Drosophila melanogaster: one gene and its partner. The protein of the gene in region 1 purifies or fractionates together with the protein of each later gene. This does not show direct contact. Each region holds a gene or a part of one and is shown on either strand. Other genes may lie near its edges.

Region 1 (3,247 bases):
CGGTTATGCCTGCTTCTACTAACACAAATCATCTTGCAGGGTGCCAAGCATTGATCAGGTGGAGGGCCTTCCGTTGCTCACTTTGTATACCAGGGAGCCCTGTCCACTGTGCGACGACCTTGTAGAGCAGTTGGAACAGGGCTTTGCAGGTCAATACCGTCTGGAGAAGGTTTACATCGACCGAAAGGAAAACGTTAGGTTCCTCCGCCTCTTCAGGCACGACATTCCCGTTCTGTTCTTCAACGGCCAGTTCCTATGCATGCACCGGCTAAACGAGGAAGCACTAAGAGAGCGGCTGGAGGCGCTAAACTAGTCCGATAATCGTTGGAAAAATCGTAAACAAACAAAATTCAATTCAGTTCAAGAAAATTCATAACTCAAGCTCTACTCTACTTGTTTATGATTAATATGGGGCATGCATATTGCGCAGAGTTTTTATTAAGTACAGTGTGTTTTTCATACTATAATCCTTGAAATTTATATTTTGCTCTGCATGGCTATTATAACCGGAAGAAGTTTAAAACATTTCGCCCATGGGTTTGATAGTGATTTCATGTACCTGAAGGTGGTTAGTTAAATTGGTCATAAGTTAATACATAATAGTGATTATGCTCACCTGAACATGAGGCGGAGTTCGCAGAGCATACATCACTGCGTCCGCAATGTTCGCTGGTTCGAGTCTGGCCATGTCTTTGACGTAAAAATGGATCTCTTCCGGGAAGATGTTCGTGTTCACCGCACCAGGACAGATGCCAGTAACCCGGATTTTGTTCGAGTGCAGCTGAAATTCCTGCCGATATGTCTCTGTGATGGCGGTGATGGCAAACTTGGTGGCCGGATATATATTGAACGATGGCAAAACGTCGATGAAGTTGAGCACCTGATGTCCGGCTATGCTGTTGATGATGAGAACGTGACCTTCGCCACCTCGCCGTTTCATGTTATTGAACGCCTCGCGGGTACACCAAATCACGCCCATTACGTTGGTGTCTATGACCTCCTTAAGCTTCTGCGTATTGCTCGGGGTGACCAGTTCCGTCTCGCGAGTAATGCCAGCATTGTTCAGCAGCACGTCGGCGCCCTCCAGCTCCCGTTCGATCCAGTCAAAAGAGCTCTGCACCTGATCTTCCTTGGAGACGTCGCAGCGCCGCGGTATGAAGTTCGCCTGCAGCTCCCGGGGCAGACTCTCCCTGAGCTCTTTCAACTTGGCCTCCCGACGTGCCAGGCCCACCACCCGTAGTCCAGCGCCGATCATGGCCCGAGCACAAGCGGCGCCTATGCCTCCGCTGGCTCCTGTTACCACAGCCAGTTTGTTCTGCCACCGCTCCATGCCGTCTTGTGAATGAGGAGCTGATGCAAGTAAGAAGCCCGCATCGGAAACTCGGGAGCAGTTTCATGGCTTCTTGGTTCGCAATTGAGGTTAATCTCCAACGGTCAAATGTTGTTGTCAGGTTGTAGATATATATATTAAAAGAAGATTCAACAATTTGGGTCAGGATTATACGCACTTAAGGTTAGGCTATCCTTTTATTCTTAAATTGACCTAAAGAAAATGTATTAAGGAACTGCGAGACTTTAAATATAAAATAAAATAGCTCAAATGTATATATTTTTTTAAGATTGTGTACTTTTTAAATTTGAATAAAAATTTTATAAGCGATAACATAAAAATTAATATTTGTACTTGGTAGTGACCAGTGACCACATTTTAAAGAAAAATTCAATTTGCATATTTATTCAAAGTCTTGAAATCGGTTTGAATTTACACTTGCCGGCAAATTGGTTATCGATAGTGCAGGGCGTACTCATCGATATTTTCAGGCCAGCAGGAGTCAGATATAACTGCCATCACTAATAAAGTAGAAAAAAAAAACCATAAGCTTACCGCAGGTGTTGCAATTTTCAGTGAATTCGCAGCAAAGCCAAGCAATTTGCATTCAATCATCTGTGAAGGAAAAGCTATCACACAAAATGGCACAAATGGACATCGAATTGAAGAAGGTGAGCGGAAGGCAAGTTGCCAAAAAGGCCGACTGCCGACGGAGAGCGCGTGCTCTTCCAAAGAACTTAGTCATAGACGATTCCTTTTGCACGCAGGCCTTCACCGAGATGCAGATCAATAAGCTGGAGACGACCAAGAAGATCCACATGATCGACATGAAGTGCGACATGGTCAAGACAGGCAAACAAAAGTACCAGCTGACAGAAAAGGGCACCAGCAGCTTGGCCGACGACACAAGGTACATAACTAGAATCACAATTAATCATCTCCAGGTGTTCAGGTGGCTAATTGAACTGTTTCCCTATAGAGTTTACCAGTCCGTGGGTCGCATGTTCCTGCTTACCGATGTACAGAATATGCGCGAGGACCTGAAGGCTAGGCAGGAGAAATGCGACAAAGCGATAGAACTGCTGGAGAAGAAGAAGGAGTTCTTGCAGAAGTCCCTTAAGAGCCAGGAAGACGGTCTGCGCGAGTTGGTGCAGCAGCGCAAGGAAGCCGATCAGACTGCGAAATAGACTACAACTCCAAACTGGCATTTATCCCTCAACGCAATTGCTTATTTATTTTCAATATACTCGTCTAAATTGAAGTTGGCGTAGCTGACAAACTTGTTGCCCAGATTGCGTTCGTGTTCCGGGCGGAAGCTGCACTTGAGGACGGGCAGGCGAGCGGTTAGCCAGGGCTCCACCACCTCACCGGAGCACAGGATTACCTTGCTCTCCTTCTGGTTTCGTTGCAGCCTAGTGATTATTTCACACGTTTTGGCGATGCACTCCTGGGACAGGAAGGGCGGGTCGGCCACGATGAGGTCATATTGCTGGTGGTGCTCTTTGAGGTAGTCCGGGTTGCTCCCTACGCAGTTCAAGTCGTAGTGCACAAAATCTGTGCCATAGGCCTCGAAACGCTTGTCGAACTCGAATATGTGCACTACAAGATAGAATGATGACAATTCATTCATAATCGTTTCACATGTCCACTTACCTGTGTCATGTATCTCCCTGATGTCCTTGTAGAGCGATGGGCAGGAGAGCAGTGCTATACTAAAGTCACCCGAATCCTCCGTGCGCTCCGCCAGAAGCTTACGCACAACATCACGCAATGCGTGCTTGGTTTCCGTGCTGTACCAGAACTGACTCAATTGCTGCAAGCGAAGAGAGTTTCACCATAAGTTTCTAAGGTATGTGCAGGTGCTCTTGCCCAATCCTCCTCGAACTGGGCATCCTTGCCGGTCTTGTTGGCGATTTG
Region 2 (3,640 bases), on another chromosome or scaffold:
AGCAGATTCGCCGGCTGGAGAAGAATGCCCGTCAGCTGAAGCCCGTGGATGAACTGGAGGTTCCACTGGAGCTCATCGACGAAAAGGAGTAGGTTCTCATACGGGTTTCCCTCATATGCTGAGATGTAATGCTATCCTATCGTTCAGCAAACGGCAGCGGAAGCTAGCTCCACTGACCATCGACCAGTTGGAGGAACGTGCTCTCCTCAAGAAGCAGTGGGCGCACTACAAGCACGACGAGCGCGTAGCAGACTTTCAGATCATCGACCGGCTGGTCCAGGCGCAAAACAAGGCGCTGGCGGAACTTCGGCGCGAGTCCGAGGAGCTCTACCAGGCGGCCATCGATATCGATCCCCAGCTGCTGCCCGTCGCCGTCAAAGGACCCGTTGCCACGCCCCCCATTAAGGATTACGTCAGTCCCGATGGCGACTACCTGCACCAATCCATGAAGTGGGAGGTCAAATGAGGCGTGTAAGTTCCGGATGTTAAAGATTTGAAATAAACTGAACCCTAATCCTATGATTTGTGAATTCGGCTTTACTCTCAATGAATTGCGTTCGCCGTTTATTCGGTTTACATGCAGTTAAATGCCCGTAGCCAAATTAAAATATTACATTCCTCCGGAATAGGCATCTCGTTTGGAGTCAGCTTGATGCGTTTGTGTGGCGGTTTTATTGCTATCAGTGGAGAACAAGAATAAGCCAGGTGGAATCGCCTGCCGAGCCCTTGCGGTGTACTGTCGAAATAAATAAGATGCGAGTGGCTGCTACCGATGTTGATCTTGGGATGGGATTTGGGTGGGTCTCCTTAGGATGGGGTAGTGGCGGTGGTCTTGGTAGCGGCCTGCCGCTTTTTCACGCCCCAGTTGTAGACCCGCGCCATGTTCACCTCCGTAGTTGTGATTTGATCCCTAAAATATACATTTATAATACAATAAAACAAGTAACTTGAATAACAGCACTCGAACTGACCTCAGAAAATCCTGATCGTGCTCCACGGACTTTAGGTTGCCCACGGCCGATGTGATGTTCTGGTTCAGCAGAGCCTCCGCCTCGTCTAGCGGATACTCCAGCATCACGCTGGCCCCCAGCCAGAGGTATACTGTTTTCGTGGGCGGCACCAGTGTCTTGATGAACACCTGGTCGCTGAGCAGGAATTGCGTCTCGCGCTCCTCGTCCTCCTTGCGAAGCACATTGACCATTTCCAGGGAGCGCTCCAGGTCCGGAATTTGAGACTTCAACTTGCGCCGCCGCGCCTCCAGATTGCAGGCCATGAATCGATACTTGCCGTGCTGCTCGTCCAGTCGCTGCAGCACCTTTTCGCAATTTTCGTTCTCCGGCTGCGACATGAAGGTGTCGATCTCCTCCTGCAAGGGCCCAAGAACCACGAATTAGCCTGCAGTGTCCAGCTGCAGGTGCACGCTTGTAGGTTAGGACCACTCACCAGGAACACTGCCTCCGGGATGCCGGCGAAGGTCTTCTGGTTTTCCGGTAATTTGGGCATTTCCACCGAGTCCATTATTCCTGTCATCCTGTTGCCTTCAGCCGTGCCGTCTACAAATGCAATTTAATTTTCAGGAGGTCAGCCTGCCGCTGTAAAAGTCGATGAGTCAAAATTGCGATGGAACAATCGATTGAATGGCTGTCATCGAAAGGTGGTGGTCAACTTCGTATAAAAATGTAAAACTAACTTATATTAAAATAATTATATAAATAAACGTTGGGATAATATAATATGTTAAAAACATTAAATAATGTCTAAATAAATTTAAATATATATCAATTCTCTTCGTGACTCTCATCCCTAGCTCAATCGATAACAACAGCGACGATAAGCGCGCCCGCCTTCTTGTGAAATTAGCGGAAAGTCAGATTTTTAGCAATCTAAAGAAGCCGCATAATGAGCACCTGGAATCCGGAGAACGATGTGGACCTGCTGTCTGGGTCCGAGGACGAGGAGGATGTGTCCATGAAGCGGGACTACCATGGGCGCGAGGCCATTCTGTTCGTGGTAGACGCCAATCTTCAGACAGCCGGCGTGGAGCGCCTGTTGGAGGCACTGAACATCATCCGGACGGCCTTTATATCCGGACTTCTGGTTAACGACAAGGACCTCATCGGACTCATCTTCGCCAACACCAAGCACAGTCCGCCGCCGCTGGAAGCCAGTGCATTGGACAACATCGTAATGCCGGATAACTGCGCAGTGTTCTTGCCCCTTCGCCAACTAACCAAACCCATTGTGGAGCACTATCTGGAATTCATGGGCGGGGTGGAGACGCAGTTCGCCGATGTGTATGGCCTGGCGGAACCCGATGGTCGCGGCAGGTTTGACCTTATGATCCGGCTCTGCATCGAGATGCTGGAAAAGTGCGGCAAGAAGCTAAACAACGCCAAGATCGCCTATGTCACGGACGTCAGGGAACCTCATCCATCGAACAGCAATCACTTCCAGGCTGCCCTGCAAAAGGCCAGCGATCTGGAGGGCAAGGAGTTCGAGTTTCATGTCATTCCCATGGTCGATGACTTTGACTACGAGCCGTTTTACAAGGAGTTCATCACGTTGTCAAGAGGTAAGTCCTTTAAGTCTGCTATTCATTTCTTATGGGTTTTAATGTGCGAAGTCTGTTCCCCTGTTTGGCGTTCAATTTTCGCCTGAAAGGTTTTAAGACTTCGTAGATCAAATATAAGCAATCATTCACCCGCATCCAAGTGAAGCTCAATTGGTTCGTGGTTTTGGATTGGCTTACAAGAATAATAAAATAAATATATAGCAATCCGTACACTAGATGATGTTTAATGAGGACCTTTTTTGCAGCTATCGAACTGGACGCCTTCCAGGTGCCAGATGCCCAGATGCTGCGCGAAATCCTGTCCGATCGTAAGTTGAAGCAGGATTTCCTTCGCCGATGCCTGGGCCACTTCAGTTTTTATCTGGGCCCCAACCTATCCATGTCCGTACAGTACTACAATTACTTTCAGCGACGCGCCTATCCGCGCAAAGTGCAAATCCTGCGCAGGGACAACAGTGTGGTGCGTACTAAGCGAGTGATTACGGTGCAAAAACAAAAGGACGATGGCTCGCAGGATATCGAGCACGAGTATCAGATTAAGGTGACGGGCGGTTGGTACACTTGCAACGTGGGCGAAAGGGATCTGCGCATCAGCATGGATCAGTTGAACAGGGTGCGCAATCTGCACAAGCCGCAAATGATGCTGCTGGGCTTCAAGCATCGATCCTCTCTTCCCGAAGTTAGCTACATCAAGCCAGCGAATTTCATGTACCCCGATGATCAGAGCATCATCGGATCGAAGCGCTTGTTCCGCGCATTGTGGGAACGATGCTTGGTGCGCGACAAGATTGCCATTTGCCTGTTCATGTGCAAGCGCAAGTCGATACCTCGCTATGTGGCACTTGTGCCAGTAGAGGCCCCAGATAATGGGGAAGATAAGAACTATCGCTCTCTGCTCTGCGGTGACGGATTCAAGATTGTCTACTTGCCGGAGGCCAAGCACATCCGCCACCTAGACTTGCAGGACTGGAACAATACGGAAAACACTGCTGACGAACAGAAAGTCGAGTTTTTCCAAAAGATCATCAAGAAGCTGCGCGTTGACTATCAGCCGAATCTCATCAACGA

Evidence for each region.
Region 2: the proteins of Pfdn1 (region 1) and mgr purify together in Drosophila melanogaster (affinity purification with mass spectrometry, with the first as the bait; one large-scale study listed by BioGRID). This does not show direct contact.

What each region holds. Positions count from the first base shown.
Region 1 is NT_033779.5:6,067,250-6,070,496, forward strand, and holds Pfdn1 (prefoldin 1), read left to right. Parts: upstream 1-1,829; 5' UTR 1,830-1,971; coding exon 1,972-2,001; intron 2,002-2,097; coding exon 2,098-2,240; intron 2,241-2,309; coding exon 2,310-2,517; 3' UTR 2,518-2,558; downstream 2,559-3,247. Other genes in the region: CG9147 (uncharacterized protein), read left to right, coding at 40-313; CG9150 (uncharacterized protein), read right to left, coding at 518-559, 617-1,330; CG9154 (uncharacterized protein), read right to left, coding at 2,559-2,929, 2,984-3,143, 3,200-3,247.
Region 2 is NT_033777.3:11,408,239-11,411,878, forward strand, and holds mgr (merry-go-round), read right to left. Parts: upstream 1,638-3,640; 5' UTR 1,531-1,637; coding exon 1,444-1,530; intron 1,367-1,443; coding exon 972-1,366; intron 911-971; coding exon 808-910; 3' UTR 554-807; downstream 1-553. Other genes in the region: mRpL40 (mitochondrial ribosomal protein L40), read left to right, coding at 1-88, 148-466; Irbp (inverted repeat-binding protein), read left to right, coding at 1,900-2,572, 2,818-3,640. UniProt on the Drosophila melanogaster protein: Binds specifically to cytosolic chaperonin (c-CPN) and transfers target proteins to it. Binds to nascent polypeptide chain and promotes folding in an environment in which there are many competing pathways for nonnative proteins.